Linked DNA regions of Astyanax mexicanus. The protein of the gene in region 3 purifies or fractionates together with the protein of the main gene of each other region. This does not show direct contact. Links are inferred from orthologs where the notes say so. Each region holds a gene or a part of one and is shown on either strand. Other genes may lie near its edges. The genes, in order: suds3, arid4b, sin3b and gatad1.

What was found.
Region 1: the proteins of sin3b (region 3) and suds3 purify together in Homo sapiens (affinity purification with mass spectrometry; 3 studies listed by BioGRID and IntAct, counting the BioPlex papers as one, with this or other methods). This does not show direct contact. The link is inferred for Astyanax mexicanus from reciprocal best matches to the Homo sapiens genes SIN3B and SUDS3.
Region 2: the proteins of sin3b (region 3) and arid4b purify together in Homo sapiens (affinity purification with mass spectrometry; 3 studies listed by BioGRID and IntAct, with this or other methods). This does not show direct contact. The link is inferred for Astyanax mexicanus from reciprocal best matches to the Homo sapiens genes SIN3B and ARID4B.
Region 4: the proteins of sin3b (region 3) and gatad1 purify together in Homo sapiens (affinity purification with mass spectrometry; 5 studies listed by BioGRID and IntAct, with this or other methods). This does not show direct contact. The link is inferred for Astyanax mexicanus from reciprocal best matches to the Homo sapiens genes SIN3B and GATAD1.

What each region holds. Positions count from the first base shown.
Region 1 is NC_064429.1:38,430,968-38,438,884, forward strand, and holds the start of suds3 (sin3 histone deacetylase corepressor complex component SDS3), read left to right. Parts: upstream 1-4,908; 5' UTR 4,909-5,042; coding exon 5,043-5,151; intron 5,152-7,167; coding exon 7,168-7,237; intron 7,238-7,917.
Region 2 is NC_064414.1:2,381,463-2,389,256, reverse strand, and holds the start of arid4b (AT-rich interactive domain-containing protein 4B), read left to right. Parts: upstream 1-4,776; 5' UTR 4,777-4,924; intron 4,925-7,794. Other genes in the region: ggps1 (geranylgeranyl pyrophosphate synthase), read right to left, coding at 556-626, 3,178-3,250. UniProt on the Homo sapiens protein: Acts as a transcriptional repressor. May function in the assembly and/or enzymatic activity of the Sin3A corepressor complex or in mediating interactions between the complex and other regulatory complexes.
Region 3 is NC_064419.1:9,138,406-9,145,515, reverse strand, and holds the start of sin3b (paired amphipathic helix protein Sin3b), read left to right. Parts: upstream 1-4,094; 5' UTR 4,095-4,518; coding exon 4,519-4,644; intron 4,645-7,110.
Region 4 is NC_064410.1:50,880,602-50,887,670, reverse strand, and holds the start of gatad1 (GATA zinc finger domain-containing protein 1), read right to left. Parts: upstream 3,001-7,069; 5' UTR 2,723-3,000; coding exon 2,543-2,722; intron 1,330-2,542; coding exon 1,207-1,329; intron 1,129-1,206; coding exon 1,069-1,128; intron 988-1,068; coding exon 804-987; intron 719-803; coding exon 531-718; 3' UTR 1-530. UniProt on the Homo sapiens protein: Component of some chromatin complex recruited to chromatin sites methylated 'Lys-4' of histone H3 (H3K4me), with a preference for trimethylated form (H3K4me3).

The DNA.
Region 1 (7,917 bases), on a different chromosome or scaffold from region 3:
TCTTCAGAACCAAAGATGAGAATTAATCGAACAAAAATGTTCTAACAAAGCAACAAATAATGTAAGAATATAGTATGAACATAAACAGCCAAATATACGTATTTAAATATATATACATATATATAATTATAACCCGCTTGTATAAACACCTCATTGTATTGGACATAGATGTGCAGTGTAACATAATATTAAAAGATAAATAGATAACTATGTAAGTAAGTAAATAAATAAATAAATAAACAAATAAATAGGTTATTGTACGGAAATTTGTAATAAGTAAAAAATAGTTTGTTGCCTCTTTGTATATTTGTTTGTTTTATTTCTATTTAAACATTTCTGTGTAATGAGTAAGAGTTTTTGATGTTTATTGCACAGAAAGACAGAAGTACAGAATTACCATAATAAAAAAAAATCAATTTCTCTGATTTTACTATTTATAGGTTTATATTTGAGTAAAATGAACATTGTTGTTTTATTCTATAAACTACAGACAACATTTCTCCCAAATTACAAATAAAAATATTCTCATTTAGAGCATTTATTTACAGAAAATGAGAAATGACTGAAATAACAAAAAAGATGCAGAGCTTTCAGACCTCAAATAATGCAAAGAAAACAAGTTCATATTCATAAAGTTTTAAGAGTTCAGAAATAATCAATATTTGGTGGAATAATCCAATAATAGTTTTTAATCACAGTTTTTTCATGCATCTTGGCATCATGTTCTCCTCCACCAGTCTTACATATTGCTTTTAATTAACTTTATAACTAGTGCAGCTTGTTCTGCCTTTTTTAAGTGCTCTCTTTTTTTGCTGTATATATATATATATGTATTATTATTGTTATTTTAAATGTAGGTCAGCGCATGTGCAGAGTGTCTTTAGGAAGCGTAAATCGACGGGCAGCACGACTCGACGCAACACCGGTAACCTCCCGCGCGCCAGAACACGGACAGGTGCTTGTGCACGAGCGTGCACACCTGCTCTCAATCACCTTAAATAACCGAAATAAGTGGAATAAGTGAAATAACTCGGATATTAGCTCTATTTTAGTGCTTTTTCACCCAATAAACAACTCTAACTCTGTATATATATTTATACACACAGCTCTAAATGCGTTAATTTCCGCGCAGCACAAAGTTCAGTAAACACTGACCTGCTGTCCTTCTGCTCGAGTTTAGATCTTAGAATAATCCAGATCTTCTCCACTCCTTCCTGATCTTCTTCTCCAGCAGAAAAGCTGCAAAACTCCCGAGTTTGCGCTGATTTAGCGCGTTTTTCAGCTTCTTTCCTCTTCTGCTTATTTCCGCGCACACGGAAATAACATTACAGCTGCTGGTTACTTAGTTTCTTCAGTTGTAGCGCGCGCCAATAAAACTGCAACATATTAAAGAAAACCGCCTGTTTAATATCATATTATAAATTTATCGACTAAATAAAACTTTAAAAAGTGCGCAAACCTTATAACCAGGCTTGGGCATGATCCAGAAGACGCGAAAAAAAATGTCCTAAATGTCCTGAAAAGTGAAACGTGACGTCCGGTGTGCCGTCCAATTGTGCTACCCTGCCAAAACCTGCTACTCCTACTCCAAACTGGTATAAACAAGATACTTCTACTTCTAAGAAAAGTCTACTCATTCGGATGAAATAATATTTTTTTTTTTGCACCAGGAGTAAAGCGGCATAAAGTTATCCAAAAGCAGTGTGTAAGACTGGTGGAGGAGAACATGATGCCAAGATGCATGAAATAAAAACTGTGATTAAAAACCAGGGTTATTCCACCAAATATTGATTATTTCTGAACTCTTAAAACTTTATGAATATGAACTTGTTTTCTTTGCATAATTCGAGGTTTTTCTTTCAAATGAAAAATGTAGAAATAATATATATATTGTTTATTAGTACAGTGATACAGAATAATGAATGTAGTTTTTGGATGGTTAAATGGTATAAATCTTTACTTCCTGTTGTTATAGGGAAGACTTTGTACTTCAGAGGAAAACAAAACTGACCCCGTAAAGACCAATACTATACTTTACAATTATAAAAAGTTTACATTTAAGTACAATGCAGTACTTATATAGCACTTCTGTTTATCTAGGCTATTTAAAAAAGGTAAAACACTTAGGAAAAGCAATGTATATCTATAAATCATGCTGTGTGCTAGATCAGGGTATCGTTATACTAAAGGTATTATATGTTAGATTAGTTTGAAATTAATTAATGTAATAATAATGATAATTATTATTATAATTAATAATGATAAACTGTCTTTAATACATTAACACCCGCAATAAATCAATCAATTAATCAATCTATTAAATATTGGAAACAAGACACAACAATAGCTATATAGCTATATAGCTGTATTTTACGTTTTTCACAAAAACATAACGTGAAAACATATGCATGCGCATGGGCACTACAGCCAAAAAGCACATATCGCCCGGTAATGCATTTCGGCACAACACCTAAGGCGAGTTCGTGCTGGTTTCCAGAGCAGCTAATCGATCGCAGATCCACTCAAACATCAAACATGACGCTGATAGTAAAAAGCGTAAAAGCGTAACGATTGATAGTAAAGCGAAAAACACTGCGAATTCTCGCACGACAGCGCGCGCCACCGACACGCCATCAGCGAAAACATCGCAAACTCGCGTGACATCACGACATAACGTAGATTTTCTCTTACCTGTCAGAGATATCGTATCCTTTGTCCGCGCAGTAAAGCGCAACTCCATCCAGATAAAGTCTCTCAGCGCAGGGAGAAAACGCGTCCCCCGAAAACAACGCGCACAAAACCTTGTCTTTCACGTTCACACGATATAAAAAACACAGCAGAAGCATCAGAGACTAACACTCTAAAATCCCTCTGAAAGCCCAGGAGCTGGCAGCGCGCGCACAACGCGCACAAAAAAACGCGTAAACCGTGAAAAAAGTCGTCATCACAAATAACGTCGTTGGATTAAACGCGTAAAAACGTAAAAACACACGCTGAGCGTCTGACAGCTGAGCGCGGAGATCCGCCTCCTCTAACCGGCAGCAGCGCGGAGCCCTGCCGGCCCTCGGTGTCCTGGTCCCGGGGTCGCCGCCGAGCCGCTGCGGAGCGGAGCAGAACCGAGCCGAGCTTCAGTTACACGCTTTAAAATTTAACCTGCTGCAGGTGATCATCCCGCACTCACGCGCAGACACGCAGACCGGGCTCTGAACCGAGGAAACGCCGCCACCTGCCGGCCGAGAGAGGAACTGCAGCCGCTACAATAACAAAACACACACACAGTTATACACAGAGAGAAATGATGACATAATTATGAGGACGGGATTATAATCTGATGTAATGTGAAAAAGTCCAGACTGCTCAGATTAATTAACACAGATTAAGGAAATTTAATTATGGAATTTGTTTCTTCCAGTACTTGTTTTCTTAACGTAATTCCAACCCTCTGTATGCTCTGGACATATGCAATATTGACAATAAAACTACTTGACTTGAGTTAACAGGCTCAGATTTTTGTCAATTATCTGCCTGATAATACACACCTATGTCTTGAAGATTTCTATTTAAGCATTACATAAAAACTTTTCATGTTTAATAAGTAAAATGAATCAAATTATAAATGTAATTGTAACAGAAAATATTTAAAAAACAAAAAGTAAGTAAATCTGCAACGTAAAAATATAATGAATGAAATAATAAAATTGGCTCTTTCCTGAACTTCATTGTAAAATCAGTATTTTTCGAAAAAACAAAAAAACAAAAAAAACAGTTAATGTTTCCAAACCTTTAGTTTCGTTTTGTTCGTCTTGTTTTAATGTCTTTATTTTTAAACCTGCAGAATTTGGGTTTGATTCCTGATTGATTGTTACTGATTTGGAATGGTTTTTTTTTTGCACACATCAAACTACATTTCCCATAATCCTCATAGTCAGATTTCTTTATTTTTTATTAAATCTTCCTCTAAATATATTTGTTATTTTGCTTTTGGAACAGAAATGTCAATTTCTGCCATTTCTGCACTGATAATAATATAAATAATGTAAATTGTAAATAATGATCTTCTTCTTATTACTAATATTATCATTAATTGTAATATTATAACTTATTAAATAAGAACAACTGTAATCTTAATAAAGAAACTACATTGTTTGTTATAGTTTCTGTTTTAAAAACAAACCCATTTAGAATTCAGTTTATGTATCAAATGCGTGTAAAAATGTATTTGGCTCATAATCACAGTGTGTAAAAATACAGTACATGTTCATCCAACACATTTTTTTTGTTGTGTTTTGTTTTGCACACGACAAACTACATTTCCCTTAATCATCATAGGTGAATTTATTTTTTTTAATTAAATATTTCTCTAAATATATATTTTAATTTTTTGCTTTTGTAATACAAAAGGCAACACACATTGCATGTTCATCCAACACATTTTAAATACTTTTTTTTTTTGATAATTGTTGTTGTTTTTTTATTTCACACGTCAAAATACATTTCCCATAATCCTCATAGGCGGATTTCTTTTATTATTATTATTACTATTATTACTATTATTATTATTATTATTATTATTATTATTATTATTAATAATAATAATAATAATAATAATAATAATAATAATAATAATAATAATAATAATAATAAATATTTCTCTAAATATTCTGCACTGATAGTAAATAAAGGTATTTTTGTTTATGTTTTAAAGACAAACCCATTTAGAATGCGGTTTATGTAACAAATGCATGTAAAACGTATTTAAATTTTTTTTCCTATATTCTCAGCGAGTAAATGTACAGTATATGTTCTTCCAACGCATTTTTAAATTATATTTTAAATAATTGTTGTTGTATTTTTTTGCACACGTCAAACTACATTTCCCATAATGCTCATAGGCGCATGTAGGCCAATCAGATTTCCCCGCCTTCCAGCTACACGCTTTTGGACGCGGAGAGGAAGAAAATAATCGCGGGTCTGAACAGATTCTGTGTTTATTCTGTTTATCTGTATATTTATATTTATATTTAGTGAGTTTGTGCAGCAGCATGGCCACGCTGCTCTCTCCTGTGGTGGATTATTATAATGATGAAGAGGAGCTGGACAGTATGGATGAGGAGGAAGATCGGAGTTTCAGAGGGAGAGACTCGGAGGAAGGTATACAGACCCATATTTACATATAAATATACAGATTTAACATTAAATAAAACTGTATTTTCTGTTAAAATCTGCTTAGTTTAAGTGTTAAACTGTATAAAGTGAATTATAATCAGCGCGGTGTCTGAGTCTGGCTCTGTTCCGCTGCTGTCTGCAGGCTGTGAGAGCTGGGCTGCGGGACTTTTATTTTGTTAAGAGAAAAAAAATAATATTCAGTTTATCACTTTAGTTATATTTATTTTATAGCTAATTTTACATTTTCTTATATGAATTAAATATTTAACTTCGTTTAAAAAGCCTTATATACAAGTATTGATACACTAGAGCTTTTATATTCTGGTAAATGAATTCCTTGTGTTTAATTTGAGAGGACTTATTTTATTTTTTGAACCCCTTACTAGCTTAGCGTTAGCTTAGCTTTAGCTTAACGTTAGCCTAGCGATTAGCTTTTAAAGCTATCATCAATTTTATGTTTATAAACAAGTTTTAAAAGACGAATTTCACCACAAACAACGTTAACGTGCATTTAGACTTATTGTTAAACATTCAAATTAAATTATATCAGACTGGAAAATATAAAATAGAGCACATAAGACAGAATTACACGCTTTGTTTTGGCATTCCTTTAGCTAGCTTGTTTGCTAGTTAGCAAGATAACGCTATGTTGTTAGCTTGTTAGCTTTATTTAATATAGCTAAAAACGAATTAAGACGTTATATGTTTAAGTTAGATAACGAAGAAAGAACATTTGCCTATATAGAAAGGCAGAATTAAATATAAATTTAATAGTTATTTGTCTGTTAAAAGCAAGACATGTTATTGCTACGACGAAAATGTTGAAGTTAGCTAACGCTAGTTAGCTTAGCTAGCTAACACTTACTAGCTACTACACGGTTTAAGTTAGTCAGATATATGTTAGCCACACAGCTAACTACCAAACACGGCTTTAATAACCTAACCTAGCTATTTAGCTATTAGTTATCTAACTAACTGGGGACGCTAGCTGGTGTTAGATACGTTAAAATGTGTTAAATTACGTTAAAATCTGTAAATCGTAGCTGTTTTTGTCAATATAAAATATCCCTTATATAAATATATCATAGAATACATAAATTATACTTTATTCTTGATAATTGAATGGGTTAGCTAACTAATTTACTATCTATATAATCTGTTATTTATCTAACCTAGATAATTAGTTAGTTAGGTTAGATACATGCAGCAATTATACACACCTTAAATTTTTTTTTTCATTATTTTAAAAGTTCTGCATTGTAGATTAATACTAAACTCATCCAAACTATGAAGAAAAAGAAATAGAATTATTTAGTAAACAAAAAAAGTGTTAAACAAACCAGAATATGTTTTATATTTTACATGACACGTTTTGAACATCTCTGCTGGATTTTCTCAGTCAGTTTTATGAGGTAGAGTCTCCTGGAATTCTGGCTTTCAGTTAACAGCTGTGCTGAACTCATCAAGAGTTAATTACTTGAATTTCTTGTCTCTTAATGTAAAGTTTGAGAGCATCAGTTAAAGTAAAGTAGTGAAGAGGTAGAGTTACAGGTATACAGTGAATAGTGAATATTTGAGTAATGTTCTAATCCAGATTATGCGAAGAAACAACTACTCAACTAAGAGAAGAAAACATTACTTTAAGAAAAAATGAAGGTCAGTCAATTTTTAAGTGCAGTCGCGAAAAAGACCATCAAAAACGTTATAATGATGGAACTGGCAATCATCAGGACCAGCTCAGGAAAGGATAGAAGAGCGAGAGTTTCCTCTGTTGTACAGGATGAGTTTATCAGAGTTTCCAGCCTCAGAAACCACAAGTTAACAAACAGCTCCCCAGATAAGAGTATCTAAATACTTCACAGAGTAAATTTGTTTTCTTTTTAGTACTTTTAAAAAAAACTAAAATGTCATTGAGAAACAATACATGCAAACAAAATATAAGTGCTTAACATGTTTAGTTATTTATTTGTAATTGTTCTAATATGTTAAACTTTGTTTCAGACACTGAAGACGCCAGTGAAACAGATTTGGCGAAACACGATGAAGACGATTATGTGGAAATTAAGGAACAGTGAGTATACACACTTGTCATATATACAGTTAATTTTATTATATGCTGAGCTAGTCTGGATTTCAACAATCACATTTTATCTAGGGCTGGGTAATATAAGGGTAATTTATTTGCGCTAAATGATGAATTGACAAGATAAATAAATATAAAAAACTTACTGTGTATCTAACACATTTAAAGTGGATATTATACCAGTTTTTTATTTTATTTTAGTAGGTCTATGTTCTTTACAAAACATGTTCATAAAGTTCTTTACACAAAATCATTCTAACATAAAGATAAAGATCTCACAGATCTATTCTTACCAGTTTCAGCCCCTTTTAGAATGAGCCGTTTAAGAGCTCTGACATTTCTATGCAAATAAGCTGTTGCTGGACACGCCCCTTGTTTACACTGATCCTTTTAATACTGGGCTTGCATTAACGTTGGTGTTGGCTTGTGCTAAACGCCATAGTGTAATGTGAGGCAAGTTTAATTAATTACAATTTACTTAATATCCCAATACTTTACTTTTTTACATGACATATCTACGAGATGCAGATTATGTGTGCTGAATATTTATTTTTTCACTCCAAAATTATATACACAGTGGGAATATAACCCTAACTCTCTGTTAGGGATTAATATGATTTAGTTTATAATAATTTCAGTTGATAAATATTCAGTGTATCCCTTGTTTT
Region 2 (7,794 bases), on a different chromosome or scaffold from region 3:
TGAGGTAAACGGAGATAAACAGACAGATAAGGTCAGACCGGGTTCGGGTCGGCCTGTAAATTTGTTGCATTATCCCAGAGCCTCCCCCCCAGCACAGGGTTAATCTTTACCATTTTATTTAGGCAAGTCACAATCCAATCTGTTTTAAACAATCAAATATTGTCCATTTTCGGCCTGACGCACTTTTATAATATTTTGCTTTTCTGTCTAATGCAATACGAAGCTTCAATTAAGTAAAGACAAAATTGTATATGCAATTAACATAAAGCAGAATCTTATTTTAGAAAATGTTAATTTTTCTTAAAAAATAAATAAATAAATAAAATTGCCTTAATAAAGACCCCAAACTTTTGTGCAAAAGACTTTAAATTGTAAATAAGTGAAATAAATTACACTAAACTAAACAACAACCTGACTTTTGTGTCCAAAAAAAAAAAGTCACACAATCTTTGTAAAAATGTCCTAAAAATAGTACAGTCTCATCATTCTCATTTCAAAATGTCTACAATAACATGTACATTTCTGAAGAGATTTCCAAAAAATACAAGTGCTTACCTGCAGTTTATCCTCGGGGACGTTGAGCCAGTGGTTAAAAGCCTGAGACAGTTTAGTCCGTACTTGTTTTCCTGATCAAACAGAAAGAGAAGAGAAAAAAAATCAATTTTTTTTTTTTTTTTTTTTTTTTTTTTAAACATACTGACCACTGTAACTAGTAGGGCTGTGCCATATCATATCGTACGTAATAATATCTGCAATACCCACCCCTCATTATCACACCAGGGTATTACTTTTTACTGTTTTTAACAAAAGAAAAATTCGCACTGTTCTCATTTCCCATTATTTATCTACTAGAGACAGATTATATCTGTCCAGTATCATTTATTTTGCTTTAATCCGGGAAATATGGAGATATTTGGAGTGCATTATTACTATTATTATCATGACTTTCTGGATCATTGACTTTCACTGTCACAAATCTGATAAAATTCTTGTATTTTTTAAAATCTCAGTTAGGGGCGTGCCATATTATATCGTATTAAAGAAACCAATTTAATTTTCATTTTGTTGCAGTAGTATAGTCTTGAAATATTTTTAATTTTTTATATTTTAATTCAGTGTTGTCATATCCCCAAGAGTATTGTTACCGCGGGAAAAAAAAAAAAAAAAAAACATGAAATATTGTGATATTATTTTAGGGCCATATCGCCCACCCCTAGTAACATGTATAAAACACACAATCATATTTCATTTTTATCCATTCAGAATAATCTATTGTTTTTACAAACGATACAGTATACACAATATAAAACTGTGGTACTTTAATATATTGATATTTTTGATATTGCACTGAGCAATATGGGATGGGGAGAGCCATCCGACTCAGCAGTGGACAGGCTGAGGTATCACCCAAGATCAAAGCAGAGCTTTTAAATAAAAGAACAGTCTGTTAGTAATATAGTAGTTTTGCAGCAGAAGGGTGGGTGAGAAGCACTTCCTGTACCCTGGCTGTAAGTCTGTACTCCCTCTGTGGCACAGAGTCACATCTCAGGCTTGAGATTTTGTGCTGACCTCAGTTAAGGTCATCCCACCGAACGGCCTCCTCACAAACGTCAAAAATCAACTCAGACCTCCCAACATGTAGCTACACATTTAGCGTAACAGGCACACATTTTATCTCCTAGTACACTTGTACAGTATAGACATGGTACACATTTCCTTCATGCTCTAAATGTTGCTAATCCAACAAAGTACTCGAGCCGTCCTCTATATTCATCCACTTCATTTTTTTCTCCAAACTGTAGAAAGTGATGCTGTGTCTCTTCACTCTCTCTCTTTCTTTCTCTATCTCTATCTCACTTCCTTTTTCTAAGGTAGATTAGAATATACAGCTACACTTTATTTACTTTACTTGCTTCATTATTTTTCCCAGTTAAAACTCAATAACTCAACACATTCTAAATATTCACACTTAAAAAGCATTAAAATATTAATTGTGGATTTTTGTATTAATCATTTAATTAAAAAGTAACTATGCTTTTTTTTTAAAGCAAATAGAAACAGTGTTAAATTTCCTTTTAAGCCCATTAAACAATGGGAATCATTACAGATACTTAATCCTATATACTAAAATCCTATATAGAAGAAGATATAAGAAATGCATTATCAAAATAATGCTCTATAATTGTTTTACATTTGCCATCATAGACTCTGAATCATAATCCAATTTAATCCAATAGAATCATAAAGTGCCTTAAGATTTCCACCCCTACTTTATGTGCCTTTTCCCCATAAACAAAAATGAAGACTGTATAGTGATCTGTACTTTATCAAACACGCCATCATCTGAAACTCTAAACCCAAATTTCCAGAGCCCACACTCAAACACCTGATCTGTCAGATCACAGATCAAAGTTCAGTCATTCATCTGAACTGAACACCAACAGTGATCATAACCAGAACAGAACCACCGCCTCGCTCTACACACCAATTCCACACCAACACTCGAGGAACACAAAAGCCTGAGGCAGCACAGCTCTGCTAATAATAGCGGCATGCCCGCACCGCTCCGAGGGCACTGTGCTGACTTCCTGTCTGACTGATGGCCTGTTCTCTCTGGAGGCGCCGTCGCACATCACTTACTCACAGTAAAGAGCTCGTCACCCCAAGCACCTCAAACACTGCGGCATCACCAACCGGGGCTAACCTGGACTCAGACAGCAACAGAACCAGGGCTGGGTATGGAAATTTAATACCAAAAAGGCCCAGACCGAAATATCTCCGAAAGACATAAAATACATGAATTTATAAATAAATAAATGTGTGCTGATAGATGTGTTTCTGATACTTTGCATTTAACGCATATAAACATGCCAAACACAGAGAGCACACAAACAGCACAACACAAATAAACAGGTTGAAGCTCTCTAAAGTCTAGCTGTATCTTTTAAAGATTCATCCATACTATTTTAATTCATTTTTAAAGTGTGTGAGTGTCATATAGTACTGCATGAACAACTGATTTAATAACCAAATTAGGTTATGCTTCAAAATACATCACAATATATTAAGAACATTTAAGTTTACTTTTTATTCAAACAAAACAGTGGGAGCTAATAAACAATTTATTAATGCACTATAACTAAACCCAGTGATGGTGTAGGTTCTGGAGGTTCTGACCTGGTAGCTGCAGTAAGTAATTGTACGGCTCCAGCAGGATCCGCTCGGTCGCTGCTCCCTCCAGACCATCCATCCCCCTCTGCCCGCACAGATCACCAAACCCTGCAACAGAGAAATGAACAGCAAACTGTTTAAACCACTCAAAACCCAGACTTCACCACCCTGCTGCTTTTCACACAATGAAAAACAAACATTTTAGGACACTAAGCCTTGTTACATTTACAGAGAGAGCACAATCTCTATAACTCTATAATTATTTATTCATGAATTTGGTGAGCTGCCCAATACAGGTTTGTTATCATTCTGAAATATGAATGCATGCCATTTCAGTTAGCTTGAAGTGTACATGGTTTCAGTTTTGTTTTTACTTTCTGAACAGAAATGGTTCAAGTTTAGTTTTCATGCAGTCTCAGAACTATTAACCACTTTTCAAAATGGCCATAAAATGCCATGTTCAGCCTATTTTGAAGACCCTCTGTTTTTTTCTGTATTTTTTTTTAAACACACTGTACCCTGGTTGTTGATGGCTCATGTGAACGTAGATATTAGGTTACAAAAGGGTCTAGGATTGTTTTTACTATTTGGCACAAAATTAAACAAGCTCTTTTTGAATATATATTTTGATAATTAAAAAAACTGAAAATCACCCATTTTTATTTCAGTTTCACACAAATCTTCATATCATATCTTAATCACAATTTTCATGCATCTTGGCATCATGTTCTCCTCCACCAGTCTTACACGCTGCTTTTGATAACTTTATGCCACTCCTGGTTCCGCTTGGTTTGACGGCTTGTGATCATCTTCCTGATTATATTCCAGATGTTTTTAATTTGGCAAAATCATATATAACGTTATATATATATATTTTTTTTCGTGTTCCGGTTTACTGGCGGTAATGACAGTAGCTAATAATGTGAGCACGTGCGCCACCCACCTTCCAGACCGGGGATGAGTAATCCGGGTATTTCCGCTATCGATTTTTTTGTCCCCTCTTCGAGCTAACGTTAGTTAGCAGGTTAGCCCGTGACGGATCCGTTTTCCTCGGTTAATCACGAGTCACGGATCTCCTGATCACAGTCACTACCGGTGTCCTCTTCACGGTGATCGGCCATATCAATATCCGCGGAATCCGCGCTTTACCGGGAGAGCGCAGGGCTGCGCGCGCTCGACACTCCGTGGCTGTGAATCCTCCTCGCTCTCCGCGGGGTATAAATACACCATGGCACCCGGAGAGCGCGAGCGCGTTGGAGTGGGCGGAGACAGACGCCCGTTTTTTTTTTTCCATCGCGTTCGAGACTTGTGGGAAATGTAGTCCATTTGATTTACGTAGCTCGTGTAGTCAGTAAAAATGTGCGGCGTGGAGAGCGCGAATGGGTCTCAAAAAAACTACAATTCCCATCAACCCGCTGGCTTTTTTTTCTTGGCGATAAACAAATGCCGTTTTTTAGAGGACGCGTTTCCCAATCAAATCGAAGAGGCGGGCACGGACACAGATTTAAACCAATGAGAGATGGCGACAGCGGCAGGGGGCGGGTTTGTGTACCTGTCAGTCAATGACAGAAGGGTAGGCGATCGCTACAGAGAAAAGAGCCCGACTGGTGAGACATTTCGTCGGATTCGCTTCCCGACACGGACCCCGGGTTTGCGGGCAACCTTTGGACGATAATCGTCGAGGATTGTTGCATGTTTTCCAATGGATTAACGCATAACGGCAGAGGGAAACTTGTTTAATCGCATTCGCAAGGTAAGAGCGAGTCTTTTAGCGGATTGTTCGGCAAAAAAATCACGGGTTAACGTTATGCTACCGCGAGCATCCATATTAGATTAAAAACAGTCTTTTCTTTTTCCTGAAGCTGTTGGTGGAAATGCTGTCCGATTTAACCTAGTTAACTATGCGCTGATTAAGATTAACTACATCAAGATATCCAGATTACAGATCGTACACGTAGCTAAAGCTATAGCTAGTTAATAACGTTAGACTTGACTGCTCGATCGGACGGAGGAGGGCTTGCTAACCTTGCGTGCTGGTCGGACTGCGAGGCGAGTGGGGGGTTGCCAGGTAAACAGCATCGAAATAGTGCATAGAATAGTACTTCGTGCCTCTTTGGTCGCATTTACACAGCGAGTAAAGTGTCACAAAAAAGCAGATATTTCTTTTCTTTGTGACCTAACGCTAGGTTATATCCGACATTCATTAGAACAGTTCACACTTCCAGCCTAATAGTGATCTAAACTGATGCGATTGCCATTGCCAGATATGTATCGGATTTCAATACCACGTAATAATAATAACTTTAAAAGTGAGTGGGAAGAGGGTATCATTCCGTCATATTCAGGGAGTTGTTGCTGTTCACCTAGATAGCACATCTGTGTCACTTAACGCCAACTACCCAGCTGGCACCACAACCGACCTTCAACGTTTAAATGTGGTTGACATATGATTGAAGTAATGTCTGTTGTTGTTTCAACGTTGAAACCACATTTAATGTTAAATAGTTGAATGTTGAATCAACATAATGTCCTCAACCTTCTGCCTATTGAATCAGCATTTTACAGTTCGTCGCCATACAAGAGGGATGCAAAAGTGGTTTTATTTCCATTTGCAGTAACTGCTTTTTTAATTTGGCACAAATTCTTCACCATACCTGGGGGAATGTTCATGTTCTATTAGTTTTACTCTTTTAGTGTTTTTGAGATCAGATGTTGAATCAGATTGGTAGTGGTGGTGGGTAACATTCTTTATACTCAGCTTTCCTACAGTGATGTAAGTTAAGTTTGTGGTTAACACTCTGTTAACCATAGGAGTTTCTACTTTTAGTTAACTACGATTTATAAAAGGTTGAACGTAAACGTTGAAACAAGTTAACGTCGCCATATAAGCGTTGATTTACTTTTCGAAATCAACACCAAATACAACGTTGATTCAACGTTGAATACCAGCTGGGTAACTTAGCATTATGATGAAGAACATCAGATTTGGGCCACTTTTTAAGACCTAACCCAGCTAACATAACGTTAGCTGTTAGGTTAACTTATTACATTCTGTGTCAACGTCTCCTTATGTTTATTTAAGACCAGGATATTGGAACTTGTGGTAGATATATAACGTTATATATGTGCTAGTCTTATTAATGCCAGTTAATTTAGTAACTAGCTAACCTACAATTCCTAAAATTAGCTAGTAAACGTTGTTCCAACCCTGAAGAAGAAGAACAACAACACTGCTGCTGCTCGGCATCAAATAACCTATAGCTAACTGATCGGGGAAAGCAGTGAGTGCCTCCCTCGCTGGACAGACCCTTATGTAAGGCTTTGTGCGGCGCATCGCGGTTTTAAAAGCCTGTTTTCTGTGTTTACCAGTGGTCAGAATACATGGAAATTGCTGGTAACAGCAGCGTTAGGTTAGCTGGTGGTACTGAGGATGAACTCTCTCCTATCTTCTGGTTAATTAGCGAGAGAGAGTTAATCTAGCTAAAAAATAAAGAAAGACTCGCTATACACCTATCACCACTTTCATTAATCGAATCATTGGTCGCTAGTTTAGCTAATCTACTGTTCTAATGTAGTTTAAACGTTTTGTTTCGCCTGTATTTCCAGACAGTTCGATATTTAGCTGCCCTAACCTCTAGCTAACTACTTCTGCTCCAGTCTGAACAGCAGCAGTCTCTCTCAGAAAGAGCAGAAATGGCTGGCGGGCTCCGATCCGCTCAGCTCTTATTAGAAAGCTTTCGCATCCAGATAACCCAGCTAACCTAACTCTAACAGCGACGATAAGATTAGTCCAGGCAGTGGTCGACTGATGTTGCTCTGTTGCTCTATATCTGGACTATCTTTCTCTCTTTATTATCGTTTTCTAAACCGAGACTGAACTCGACGGTTATTGGCTGAGGTGACTGTTGTTGTTGTGCTGGAAACAGACACAGCCTGTGGGAAACTGTAGTTAGCTAGTTAAATAACAAGTGTTTTGGGAAGCTGTTTTCCTTTTTGTTATGTAATGTTTAATTTGCTTCAAATAATAGCAATTGCAATTTACAGAAAAAAAGCCAATTAATCAATCTCACCAAACAAACCAAAAAAATGTGTTGGTAGCTAGCTACCACACCAAAGAGAATAAGCACCAGTGATATAAGCACTAAAATATTAACTATAGGAAATAGAAGTATAAGAAATAAAGTCAGATTTAAATATTGGAAAGCTTCAGTTTGGCCTGTTTTTCAGTTAATTCTGTGTTAAGTTTGTTAAGCTAGTTAGCTTACACTTTAGCTAGGTCAACTAACCTATGTTTTATTGGTTTCAAAGTAATTGCAATTTGCAGGAAAATAGCACATTAATCCACCTCAACAAACAAACAAACAAAACATTTGTTGTTGTAGTAGAGTTGGTAGATATCACCCTAAATTAATATCACAATATTTTAAGGTATTTTCACGATAACACACTACATTGAATTTTAAAAAATATATTAATAAAAGAATAGACTATTGCTACCGAATTAAATTTTAATTTTATTATTGCATACGATATGATATGGCACACCCCTAAAAGAGATATTACAAAATAACAGAAGTTTTATCAGATTTGTAACAGAAGTCAATGATCCAGTGTCATGATACT
Region 3 (7,110 bases):
ACTTTCCTCCAATAAAATTAATTAAATAGAAATTAATAAAAACAACAGCAAACATCAAAAGACACCTGCTGGGCTAAATGTCCATTGGTTGTTCACATATTGGCAGCTTTAAAATGTTGAAAATATTTAATAATATTTTGTGCACGCACACACACACACACACACACACACACACATATATATATATATATATATATATATATATATATATATATATATATATATATATATATATATATACATACACTCACACACACTTCTCTGAGCCCCTGCTTTGTGTTCCTCTCTCTGATTGGAGTTGACCTTTGATCCCAGGCCCATTTGGGCTGTGAGCACAAGCCCGCTATGTTGCGTCTCCACTGGTCCCGCCTGCATGCTTCTTTGATGTTTAACTGTAAATACTTTAATTTATTTTTCATCTGGTGTAAAGGAATGAAGCTTAATTTATTGTACTAATTATTATTATTTAAGTCCATGTTGGGGGGGGTACTTTTATTTTGCTTTAGATGAGCAGTATTAAAGATAAATGGGTCGGATTTGGTGGGTCACTCTCCTGCACTCTATCTCTGTGTTCTGTAGTTGAGCTGTTTATCAGAATAAGACGATGATGTTGTGACTGTGGAACGTGTTTCTGATCACCTGTGACTTTTTCATCGTCATTAGCCACGCCCACTCCAACACCTGACGTATTGATATATACACCCCAGTATCTCATAAAAGAGTTAAATTTTAAATCATATTTTCATTATCAGAGTGTTGAAATCAATCAAGTTGAAATGCCCATACATGTTTATCACACCATGTGTACATGTGTATCACACCATGTGTACATTGTGTCACATGTAATATTATAATGCAGTCTCATAGTTAGATAGATATACTAAAAATAACCACTAGATTTAAAGAGACTGAACTAAGATATCACTAATGTCCTTTCCAGTTGATGTCCTTTTTAAGATAATTATTTGCTACACTTTAATAATGATAGCTTACCAAGTAAAATCATTTAAAATCTTGTGATATTATTCATTATGATATTGCTGTATTAAGATGTTTGAATATTATTCAAAACAATATTAAAGAAATCGGATTATTTATGTTGCAATACTTTGAACACTCTTATAATGAGAAGTATTACATACATTTACTAGTTACTCAAATTCCCCTGTAAGCAAATGCATAAAATATCAAATATTTTTACAAAATAAATACATTAAAATATTTGGGCTACAGTATATTGTGGTACGTCACATGTTGGTTTGGGCGATCAACAGCCAATGAGAATTAGAGTTGGTGAATATTAGACCAACATCCATTCAGTGCCGTGTCGAGTTCAGTGATGAAGTTAACCTTCCCAGCGGAGGGTGATTTTTTTGTACATGAAATTTTTTAAATACCTTCAACAATCCCCCAATAATCCCTGTATCCTGACATGACGCTGTTTTTTATCGTTCCGGAGGAATCGGAGTTATGTGTCGGTTTATCTGCCTGCTAAACCCATGATAATGTTGAAGTGCTCGATACTGTATCTCTGCATCTTTTTCTATCTTCTCGATGTTGTACCTTTTCTTAAATTTCCGACTGTGACGATGTTTGTAGTAAATAGACGACTGTACTTTTGAGTCCTAAGAGAAATCTAAAGTAGAAATTAGATAAACTATAGTGGTTCTGTGTTTGAAAAGATAAACAGAGAAAAACGTCTTACAGTTCCCTCTTTGCGGAGTAGTTTGTAAATGTTGGGTGTACTATTCTCTTCTATGATGGTTGTTCTGATGGTATCATTTGTATTTCTGTACACACTTTGGTGATCCTGTCATTACTTGGTTTTATAAACCACGCTTATTTTTAAATCCTGCATTATGTGTCTGCCTCTTTATTTAACCCTTCACCTGGACCAACATTCATACCACCTGAACCACCAGTTACACCACCTAAACTACCAGTCGCACCATCTGAACCAACAATCGCATCACCTGAACCACCAATCGCCCCACCTGTACCACCAATCGCACCAACTGAAACAAACAATTACACCACCTTAACTACCAATTGTATCACCTGATCAGCCACCAGAAGACACAAGTTATCTGGAAAGGCTTTACACTAGGTGGAACCACTAGTAACGCAACCTCAACCACCGGTCGCTCACCATTTGAACCACCAATTGCACCTTCTTAAGTACATTTTGCATTGCAACTGAAGATATGCAGAGAGCTATATATTTAAATATATGCTACATACTTTAAATATAGTGTATATGTTTATAAAATATGTTGAACAGATACATTCTTGGCTGTTGTTTTTTAATAAGACAGCCTTGAGCTAGCTGTATTTCTAGGCATTTGGAGCTGCTTCTGCCCCTCTACACCTGTATTCTCACAGGGAACATCACAGCTTGGTTTAGGAACAGCACCGAGTACCCAGCACAGACCTTTACAGAGGATGATATGTTCACTTGGATTGAGTTTCTTGACCTGCAGACCATCTACAGCAAGGGGTGCTGGACTAAGGTGAGGGAGAATGTGAAGGACCTCAGCCATCTCAACTATATGAATAATTAAAAAGGAAAAATAAAAAATGTCTTTTAAATAAGGAATTATTTACAGTGCCAGTTAAAAGTTAGGACATATTTTAAATTCAGTGTTTTTTCATTATTTTAAAATGCTCTGCATTGTAGATTAATAGTAAAGTCATCCAAACTATGGTATGGCCAAACCTGGTATGGCTTTGAGTTAACAGCTGTGCTTAACCTGTCAAGAGTTAATGTCTTGAATTTCTTGCCCTTTTAAAATGTTTGATATCAGTTGCGAAATTTAAAGAGGTAGAGATGGTATGGTATACGGTGAATAGCCGCTATTTGAGTAAAGTTCAAATCCATGTTATGGAAGTAAAGAGAACTATTTTAGGATTAATCAATCTGAAATATTTCAAGAACTTTAAAGGTATCCTCAAGTGCAGTCGCAAAGACAATCAAAAACGTTATGATGAAACTGACTCTCATCAGGACCACACCAGGAAGGGCAGAGCAAAAGTTACCTCTGTTGCACAGCACAGGATAATTTCATCAATGTTACTAGCCTCAGAATGCAGCCTAAATGCTTCACAGAATATGTTGGTTGTGCCATATAGTATTGTAAGCATTAATAGTGCCAACATTTTTGAATATCATGAATGATATTATACCCTGAAATATCGTGCAATATCACCCACCCCTAATAATCACTTTTTTACTGCTGTTTTTAGCAAAAGACAAATTCACACTGTTCTCATTTGCCATTATATTTCTACTAGAGACAGATTATATCTGTCCAGTATCATTTATTGTACTTTAATGCTGCATATATGGATATATTTGGAGTGCATTATTAGTATCATGACATTCTGGATTATTATTGACTTCTGTTACAAATCTGATAAATTTCTGTAATTTTTAATATCTCAGTTAGGGATGTGCCATATCATACTGTATGCAATAACAAAATTTAATTTTTATTTTGTTGCAGTAATGTATTCTTGAAATATTCTTTTTTTATTTAGTGTTTTGTCATATCGCCAAGAGTATGAAATATTGTGATCGTAGTATTTTTGGGCCATATCGCCCACCCCTAACGTGACTACAAGATTCCTCCTAGTTAAAAGAATAAAAAATGTAAAGTAACTTTTTGAAAAGTTTTAAGGTCAAATATTCAGATAATAATCCTAAAATTAAAGTGATTAAGCTGGAAAATATGATTTCTGTGTAGTATGAGGTTTTCTAATAGTAAAAAAAGACGTTTTTGAAGGGCAAAATGCACAGTATTCTGATAATAACACTACTTGAATACACCATGTATGGCAACAGTTAACTTTTTACATTTTGACCACCCATTTCCCTTTCCACTTTCACACAAAGACAATGTATATGCTTATATTAGTCACTAATAAACCGTCATACATCACTGTTATATCAGCCATAAACACTTTATTGATTAGTCTGTGGTGTTTTGTAGTGTGTATTGATCACTAATATTTATTGACACTTCTGAGAGGATAGCATTAGCATTTGAAACGACACCTTCACTCATCCGGGTACCGCCCGCCCCGCACGTCTGTAAGCCCCGCCCCACCGTGTAGGCGCATGCTCGGTGCGTTCTTCCACATTCGCTCCGCTGCCGCCGAATTTAAAGAGACAGGAGACAGTTTTTAAAAATAACATTTACAAACTGAAAATCCGGGAGTAGTCTTTCTCTTCTATGCTTTTTTAGTTCTTCAGCTCTCCCCCGCTTTCTCTGGACCTTTTCTGGTTAGTAAAGCCGTGCTTTAAACGCTGTAGTGGTTCCTCTCTTCAGTTTGAGCACAGCGGTCCGCTCTGCCGCTGCTGGCCGGGGTTGGAGGCACTCTGCGCGGTCTGAGCGGCGTGGGCGCTCCGCTGTCTGGAGCGCTTCCCTTCCCTGCTTGTTTTTTTCCCCTGCCCTGCTTGTTTTGTGGGCAGATACGGAGGGAGAACGTGTGTCTTCGTGTGTGTAGCTGTTGGGGACGATGGCGAAAATCCAGGCTCACAGCAGCACCAAGCAGATCAACCCAATAAACCAGGACAAGGCCTTTTTGAGCGCCCAGAAACAGCAGCAGCAGCAACAACAGCAGCAGCACTTCCAGAAACTAAAGGTAAGGAAAAACGGGGGTAAATGAAAGTAAGTGTAAGTCGATATAAAGTGGCGCGACCAGTTTTGAGTAGTGCTGTGTTATTTCTTTCTCTGAAGTTCTTGCCCATTCTTCAGTTTCTTGTGCGATTTTTCCCGTTCCACCTTAAGTGTAGTAGCAGTTACATTCTGGCGTCCGGGGGGCGCCAGAATAAAACTGCGGCAACATTTAAGGTGGAACGTACAAACTCGCAACTTCAGCTTCTTTTAGATTTTTTTCTTTCTTTTTTTATTCGTATTTGCTTAAGGCGTATATAATATACACATATAATCTATTGACCAGTTTTGAACATAGCTATTAAAAAATGTAGCTATATTTCGTACCATATAAAACGACCCCCTCGTTATAGTATATGTTTTTAGCTGGGTAATCTAAGTGCTGTAACGTTAGCATAGCATAGCTATCGCTAACGAACCTAGCTAGCAAAGCTAACCTAGGTTAGCAACCTCTTATTAGCTTGCCTCTCTTTGTCTTACTTTCCCAAAGCTAATGCTGTTTGCTTTGGCAGCTTCCAAAACAAAAAACAGCACTTATAAACCCAAAAGACTTTCCGAAAAACCTTTACTTTAACTTAAATACAGTTTAATCTCATTTAAAAAGAGCTTCCAGATCCTTCTCAGTTGAGTTAGCCGGTTAGCCACTTGCTGAGTTGCAGTGCTTTTGTGGGGATGCGCCTTGCTAAAAGCACAATAAAACCAAATTCTGTTGAATTTAATGCAAAATTCACTGTAACGATTTGTTTTAATTGACACTTGAGTTATAAAGTTGCTGGAGACCCTGAGAACTGAAGAAGCTGAAAGGGTTTATCTCGTATGAAGGTTCTTCAGTGCCAGAACTGGTGGTATTGTTTTCCTGATATATCCATCAGATTTCTCAGGGTGTTTGATTTGTGAGCTGATTTATTCTTGTTTAACGTTAGTTTAGACTAACCGAGATATGTTAAAATTAGGACTATTTTGTGCCACAGTTTATATATGGTGCTAATATAAAAAAGCTGCTGCAAGGAAATTAACAAGAAACTTGAACCTAGCTTGAAGCACCTTGTACAAACACAATACACCATATTTTGGTGCATTTAACTTTTCAACTCAACATGAGAACTGAAAAAGCTGTCTTGTATAAGAAAGGTTCTTTGGTGCTAGAACCGGTGGTATTGTTTTCCATCATAATTTTCAGGGTGTTGAGCTGTGAGCTGAATTATTATTCTCTAATGTCAATTTACCCTTATTTTGGTTAGGTTAGGCATAAATGCTGTAGCTGCTGCAAACAAGTAAACAAACGTATACATACATACATACATACACACATACAAACAAAGCAAGCACCTTATGGTTTTGATCTTTTTTATATGTCTATAGAGCTCTGGAAAAAATAGGAGACCACTTTAGTTTCTGAATATGTTTCTCTGATTTTGCTACTTATAGGTATATGTTTGAGTAAAATGACCATTGTTGTTTTATTCTACAAACTATTGACAACATTTCTCCCACAAATATTATTATTTAGAGCATTTACTTGCAGATAATGAGAAATGGCTGAAAAAAAAGGTGCAGAGCCTTTTAGACCTCAAATTGTGCAAAGAAAACAAGTTCATATTCTGAAAGTTTTATGAGTTCAGAAATCAATATTTGGTGGAATAACCCTGGTTTTTAATCACAATTTTCATGCATCTTGGCACGTTCTCCATCAGTCTTACACACTGATTTTGGATAATCTTTTGCCACTCCTGGTACAAAAATTCAAGTAATTCAACTTGATTTGATTGCTTGTGATCTTCCTCTTGATTTTATTCCAGAGGTTTTCAATTTGGTAAAATCAAAGAAACTCGTTATTTATATGTTGTCTCTTATTTTCTTCTCAGAGCTGTATATCAGCTGTCTGGCAGATGGGTTTTACCACATGAAATATCAATATGATTAAAGATTTACTGTTTCTCTGTCCATATCTTTTTACTTTTCTGTGTAGAGCTGATTAATATGACAATTTATCTTATTGAATCATAATACATTTTTTATTGTATTAAAACATGTTATAATAAGTATACCGAGGATAACACTGACCTAAATGTATTTTTCATTAAATACATTGTAAACACTTTTTCTCCATATCTGCATAATGTTTATTCTACCTTATCTACTCAATTGCACAACACTTTCAAACTTGTATGTATATGTATACTACTTTGCGCTTCTGGATAGATGCTAACTGTGTTTCATTGGCTTATTTTATCTCTTATTTTACCCAGAGTATTAATTAACATGTAAAATGTAGGTTCCAGGTCCCTCACAGTAGCAGAAAACAATACATACAAATAGAAATATAGAATTTCACACAAATTACACCAGGTGGGCACCAGGTTACTAATGACAGGGTTGTGGGCTAGTAGGGTATGATTTTGTCTCATGATCTTTTATGGCATTTCTAAATGTT
Region 4 (7,069 bases), on a different chromosome or scaffold from region 3:
TTCTGACCTCACCAATGCTCTTGTGCATAAATGCAATCAAATTTTTACAGTACATAAAGTTACAGGTGTCCCAATACTTTTTTTCCACAAAAATGATAACCTTACTATTAACAGATCATTCACTGATCTCAGACACATTATATTTTATTCATATTTTTTATTATTTTTGTTAACAAACATATGTCCATTACAATATTTACAAATTATTGTTTTCATCAAGATAGTCTGCACAGAGATACTGTTCCAACTGTTTAATACTTCAATTAAGTATCAAGTCTTCTGTCCCCAGAGACAACAGGGTTCCACTCTCTACTGTCATTTTACAGTACCAAGCAACTGGACATCTGCTTTGTTGTATAGCAGAGTAGAGTTGTTAGCATTCGTTTCTGGCAGTGGTGTGGAAATTCACACTCAATTCACGATGATCGTAAAAATGTCCATCATTTTGCCTGGTTGCGAATCGTTGATTAATCTTTTCTTCTATTCCGTATTTGAATATTGGTCTCAGGTTACAAGGCTGAACAAAACAGTTAACTGCAGCTAACTGTTTCCTTGACTGTAACAGCAGGTGTAGGTCCAATATGGGTCCATATGTAGCCTTTCTCTGGGCGAATGGGTATTGTTGGAAAAGGACAACTCCTTGACTTAAAGTATTCTGATGGAGCATGGCAGACAAATTCAAGATACTCCATTTTCCTTGGTAAGTCCTCTTCTGGACCTGAGAAGGTAAATACTTGCTTAGTCATGTTTAAAATGCTACAAAAAGAATCAATTGCTAAAATGAGAATACAACATTAACTTACCAACAATGTAAGAGCCTGGATCAAACTGATCTCTTGGACTAGACTGAGTGGGGATTAGCCAGGTTAGTGCGGCACTCTTTTCACAGTACTGGTCCTGAACAAACCCACGAATCTGTGCAAAATACGGTTTACCGTCCTCTTCATCTGTTACCTTTATTACATCTCCTATTTGATAATAAACACCCTGGAGAAAAGGGAAGAAAGTGAATTGGGGAAAAACTGTCGCTTCTGAAATTCCATTTAAAAGTCGATTAGAAAGTCAAACCTTGTAGAAGATTGACTCTGACGTAATAATTGTGGATACAGACTCTGGAGCTTTGATAGGCTGAGGGAGGGAAAAAAAATATATTACTCACTCTGCTTTACTTAAGCATAATATATGAAGTTCATGGATAGAACTTACATTCTTTAGTTTAAAAATGTGCCGCCTTCCTTTTCCCTTAGTTGAGACTTTCTTCTCAGATGCAGGTGCCTTGTACTTAGTACTTCTCAGTCGTGCTGATCTTCTGTGGATCTCTTGCTTAGACTAGAAGGAAACAGAATCAACATGTTAGTGCTGTTATAAAGTACAAATTCTCTGATTATATGCATTTGAGATGTTCAGAAAGTGATTTAAATGTTATTTACCTATAAATGTAATTCTGTACTATTTTTTCACACATTACTCGGGTAAATCTTTTGAAAAAACATCGACTGAGCAAATGGAGAAGTTTAAATGGTTGATACACAGAGGGGAGTATCCACATAAAAATGTTGATGCACAAAATTACATTCCACTATACAATTTTTTTACTTTTAATTGTTTGTGTGCAGTTTGAAACTCTTATATTTAAACTGAATAAAACATATGTTTTGCTGCAGTACAAATTCTTAAAACGTATTTTTAAAAATATTACATATTTATAATATTTTGTCATATTGTCTCAAAAATACAGTGAAATATTGTGATATTATTTTGGGGGCCATAACAATATACTAGTGCATCTCAAAAAAAAAGCATTTTAAGCATTTGTTTCTTTTATTGTTGATGATTATGGCTTACGTGAAAGTCTTGCTTGATTGTAGAAACTTTACACTAGACCTCAAGCAGCTTGGACTGTATCTCTCCACTCTTCCTCCAGACTCTGGTCCCTTAATTTCTAAATTAAATGCAAAATTTACTGCTGATCAATGATGGTTTGGAGAGCCGTGTCATCTGCTGGAGTTGGTGCACTGTTCGTCCACTGGTGTTATATCCAGTCCAAAGTCAGTGCAGTGTTTTCACAGAAAATCTTACAGCACTTCATGCTTCCCTCTGGTGACAACTTTTATGGAGAGGCGGTTTTCATTTTTCAGCAGGACTTGGCACACTGCCAAGTCTTATATAATATTATACATAAAGAGACACTGATTTTTGAGTTTTCACTGGTTGTAAGCCATAAACATCAACAATGAAATAAATAACTGCTTAAAGTAGAACACTGTGTGAGTAATACATCTATATAACATAAGTTTTTAACTGAATTACTAAAGTAAAGTAACTTTTAAATGATATTCTTACTATTTTGAATCGAATGATTTACATGCATTTGCAAGAGCCAATTGACAGTGTAGATTTTTGGAACAAGTAACTTACGCTTATTGGCTCAGGCTGCTTTTAGAAGCACTTTAGAAATCTGTAGCCATTTGCGAGAAATACTGCTGCTAGCTAACCTAGGTTAGAAACATAGAAATCAATAAAAACAGAAGTGTAATGAAACCTGTTTTCCTCCGCCATTATTCTGCTGAGTGGTGGAAGAGACGGAGAGCCCGGGTCCTCCAGCAACACTGCTTTTAGAAGTGCAGTTATTACACAGGATTTCTCCCTGGTTTCCTTTTTTCCACATAGAAGAGGAGTTGGTTTTGCAGACCGCGCAGCTCGGCTTCACTCCCAGCGGCATCTTCCCTCTGTACCCGCCTAGCTAACGTTAACCTACTGCTCTCAGGTCTCACCGCCGCACAGTACGTATTAAAGATAGATATAGCTAGTTAACGCTAGCTGTTTGCTCCTCAGCGCAATTAAACGCTGCTAAATAATACACAAAACACTCCCAGTCTGTAGACTTTATTCCTAAATTAATAGAAAATGTCTAAACCCTGCAAATAATAATTTTAGTAACAATGAACTGCAACAACAAACCCTGTCCTCCATTATCTACAGAATAAAAGCCCCCCTTGTCCTCAAACTGAGCTACCTCTTCCGGCCGAGTTCAACGGCGTCTTCAAAATAAAAGCCCCTTTACTAACTCAATGCAGACCTGGGCATTAGATTATCTGCCCCTTTGCGTTTCTATTTTTTAAAGAATTTATTTAGAAAAAAAAAGTTTAGATTTTTTTTACAATTACAAAAAACACAACAACATTACCTACAAAATATTATAACAGTAACAATTTTACATTTTTAAAATTCACAAAGTCCAATCTTTTGGCTTTGTTTTTTTGTCCTAAGTCCCTCTTCTCTTCCGTTCTCTCATACTTTGATTAAAAACAATATTACTTGATTCAAAAGTTTGATCTATTGTCATTCTAGTCTGTTCTAGTTTTCCATAACTGATATTTTTCTATACATATGATTAACCAAAATTATTTTTTCTTCTTGTTTTCAACAATCCGTATATCCAGCCCTTTACAAATCCACCTCAGAAACTGAACGGAAAATATAGCAAGAATATTTTGAATTTATTGTTGTTCTTTTACTAAAACACTTTTAGTGTTTCACTTTCATAATTAAATAATTATATAATATACTTTTTTTTACTATGCCTTTACATTTTTATCGCCTAAGTGTAAGATCTTATTAGTAATGTGTTATGAAAACCATATAATTACTGGATTTTTAAAAAGAGATAAAATGAACATTGAGCAAAATAGAGATCAATCAGTAGGCCCAGCCCTACAAAATAGTCCCTTGGTTACAAAAGTGGCCCCTTGGTTAAATTAATTGCCCACCCCTAGTCTATTGTAACAAAAAGTAAACACAATTTAAAATTCCTGTCGGTGTCATAGTGGTAAATATGCAAAATCCAGGCTAACCATCATTAGCTTAAAGGGAAACTAAACCCCCTGATTTTTGCTGACTCCACCCTCCGCTCAAATTTAAAAAAGGCTAAAACATGGGAATGACAGTTTGGGAGGGGCACTGGGTGATGTATGGGTTTTAGGGGTGGGGCAAGAAGAGAGAGCTGATTGGGCTGAGCAGTGTGCTTCTGATAGTGGTGAGACCCAGATGGTTGAATGTCAGCAGGGGGGGGCGGTATTTTTGATTGCGTACCAAAGTACACGTACACATCATCCTCGTACATATCAACTCCCGAGCTTTCAGTCATCTAATAAATGCAAACTTTAAAAAAATTTAAGCACTTTTCCCTATCCTGTTAAAGTGTTTCAAGCCATCACCAAGCCTTAAGTCAATAATTGTGCAATCAAAGCACTAGTGCCAAGTTTTGAAACACTATTTGATTCATTTTTATTATTTTCTATTAATAAAGGTTGATATGCTAGAAAACTGAAGGTCAGGTCAAGTTAATAGGTAAATTGTAATTAAATAGTGATGCTTGTGGTTTATAGGCCCACACTGAACCTGAGATTAGCCTTATGGTATCTTACTTCTCAACACCCATGGTTTTATACCTAAAAGAGACTTTTAAATGGTGAAGTGAGCACCACACCACATCAGGAAAAGTTTGCTTCCTGTCTTCCAAACAAACATTTTGTTTTTACTTTGAAAAAATTGTACTTTGTAGTTAATAATGTCCATGTGGTGGTCTGTTCAGAACAATCAAATCACATGGACTACTTCCATGTACAGGAACAGCTTGAATGAGGTCTGAATCATGAAAATGAAGGAAAACACTCATAACTCTTCCAGGCAAAATGTCTGTAATCTATTACAATTAATTCAACCCAGGGCACTGAAATTAATCACAGTAAAACACAACGTAATTTTTAAATGACAATTTAGTCAGACACACATTGCAACTCTGGTTTTCAATCCTCTCACTCCCCATTTCAGAGTATACATTCCAACTAACACAGGACTCAATCCAGTGTAAAAGAAATCTAAGCAATGATTTAACACATGGTTGGCCCATGGAAATACAAAATGTTCCCGCAAAATGCTTTGATTGTAAAAGTGAGTAACAAAAAATGCAGTCTCTTTTAATCACTTTTTTCATTAAGTGAATGAAATCTTCACTATAAGAGGTTAACTTAAATGTGGCAACACACAGACAATATAGGGGAAGGGCATAAAAGGCACACTGAATGATAGAACTGAATGAGCGTGTTTAGAGGAAAAGCAAACTTCAGTCTCCAAATCCCTACACCCAACCTTTCTTCTTGAGCTTTAGTGACCCCTGGTGACACGATTGGAAAAGGCTCCAGCTGTGCACCAGATATTACAGACTTTCTAGAATAATCCAATGCTTAATAATGTCAAGCAGTCAACCATTTCAACCAGGGGATGATGAGTTTGGGTATATACCCAGCTCATAGCAAAAGTAGGCACAATGTCATCACCGGGATGCCCTGAAGCACTGGTCAAGAAGTGGCTTCAAGTCATTTGAAGCAAACCTGTCTCTTTTAACAAAGTGCAACAGGTTTGTGTGCAAGTGCATGAAGCAAGCAAGCGAGACTGATGGTGGGGTCATGGGTCAGCCTGTGGACTGAGATCACTGCAGTACTTGATAAAGCAAACTGCATTTTTTAATTTTTAAAACTTCTTTTTAAATCTTTCAGTGTGCATTAGCACATTTTTCTCTTTTTGAAAAAGAAATAAATAAAAGAGTAGTATAACTCACTTTCTATTCACACAGGTAAATGGGTTTGTTTTTGTAACCTCATCTTTGTGGTTCCTCTACAGGTTAAACAAGAACCCAGAAAGAACCACATTTTTCATCATACGATTTAGAGCTTCTTAGCACTCTCCTTTTCACACACAAATATCATATTTCTGTTACACTATAAATCCACATGTTTGTGGACACCCCTTTTACTGAATGCATTTAGCTACTAGCTGACACAGATGTACAACTGCACACACACAGCTTGTCTAGTCCTCAATAGTAAAGTATTGCCAATAGGACCAATGAACATGAACCTACTGGCACTATGCCTAATTCCAGATGTGCCTGAAATAATCATACTCCATCCAATACTTTTGGAATAAGTTGTGGATAATGCAGAAAGCAATCAAATCCTCACAGCAATCTACAAACTCTAGTAGAAAGCAGGGTATATTATTTTCATTTACCCATGATTTCATAAGAAACAAAGGTGTCCCAAAACATTTGTACATATAGTGTATACACTTCTTTTTCCCCTGTGGTAGGGGTGGCAAACTAATGTCATGTCCAACGTGAACTCGGAATGATTTTAATCGAAACCTGACACTGCATTTTTTTCGTACTTTTTTTTTCCGTTTAGTACTGATGGTTATACGTGATTATTAATTATTATAGAGCATTAGGTCATTTTGTGAAATAGTGGCTGACTGACAAAATCAGCTCTACTTGCTGCCTCTTTTAGAGCTTTAGTATTATAACAGGTCCCAATAAAGCAGTTCATGAACAGTGATCAAACCCTGCAGGTCCAACAGTGCTCTAACTGTGCTAGCTAACATTTCTGAAGAACATCAGGTCCTATCTTAGTGAAGTGTCAGTAAAATTGAGATTCTGGTTGGTTTTGCTGTGAACTTGCTCTGTCCCTGTTTATGTCTATAGATCAGTGTCAATGTGTGATTTATGAAGACTGTTTTTAGCTGATCTAATGAATTACAATGAGATAATGTGATTTAATTTTTTTTCAGTATTGTTCCGGTTTAGAACTGTGTGCTGTATGTTTGCCACCCCTAGTTTAAAGGAATACTCCAGTGTTTTCAATCACCATCACATAATCACTTGTAGTGTATGGCCAATGACCATTAACTATGGACATATTAACCTATGGCTATAGGGAGCCCTCCTGTCAGTTTTTAGCTAACAGTTGAATCCAGTAAAGTGCAGCTGCTGAAAGAAATAGTAAAATATATTAATAATTGTGATCTGAAACAGCGTAAAATACATAAGTCACAGTTTAGTTTGAATTACTCACCCTTTTCACTTATTGTCCAAATACCAAAAGTGCAATATTCAGCTGAATATTGTTGACAAATATTTTTGGTTGCCAAATATTCTGTGCATCTTTAGAAGATACTGAACCTAATGTTATTCCTACTATTTGCATGTATTTTGAGGGGTTTTGGTGTAAAC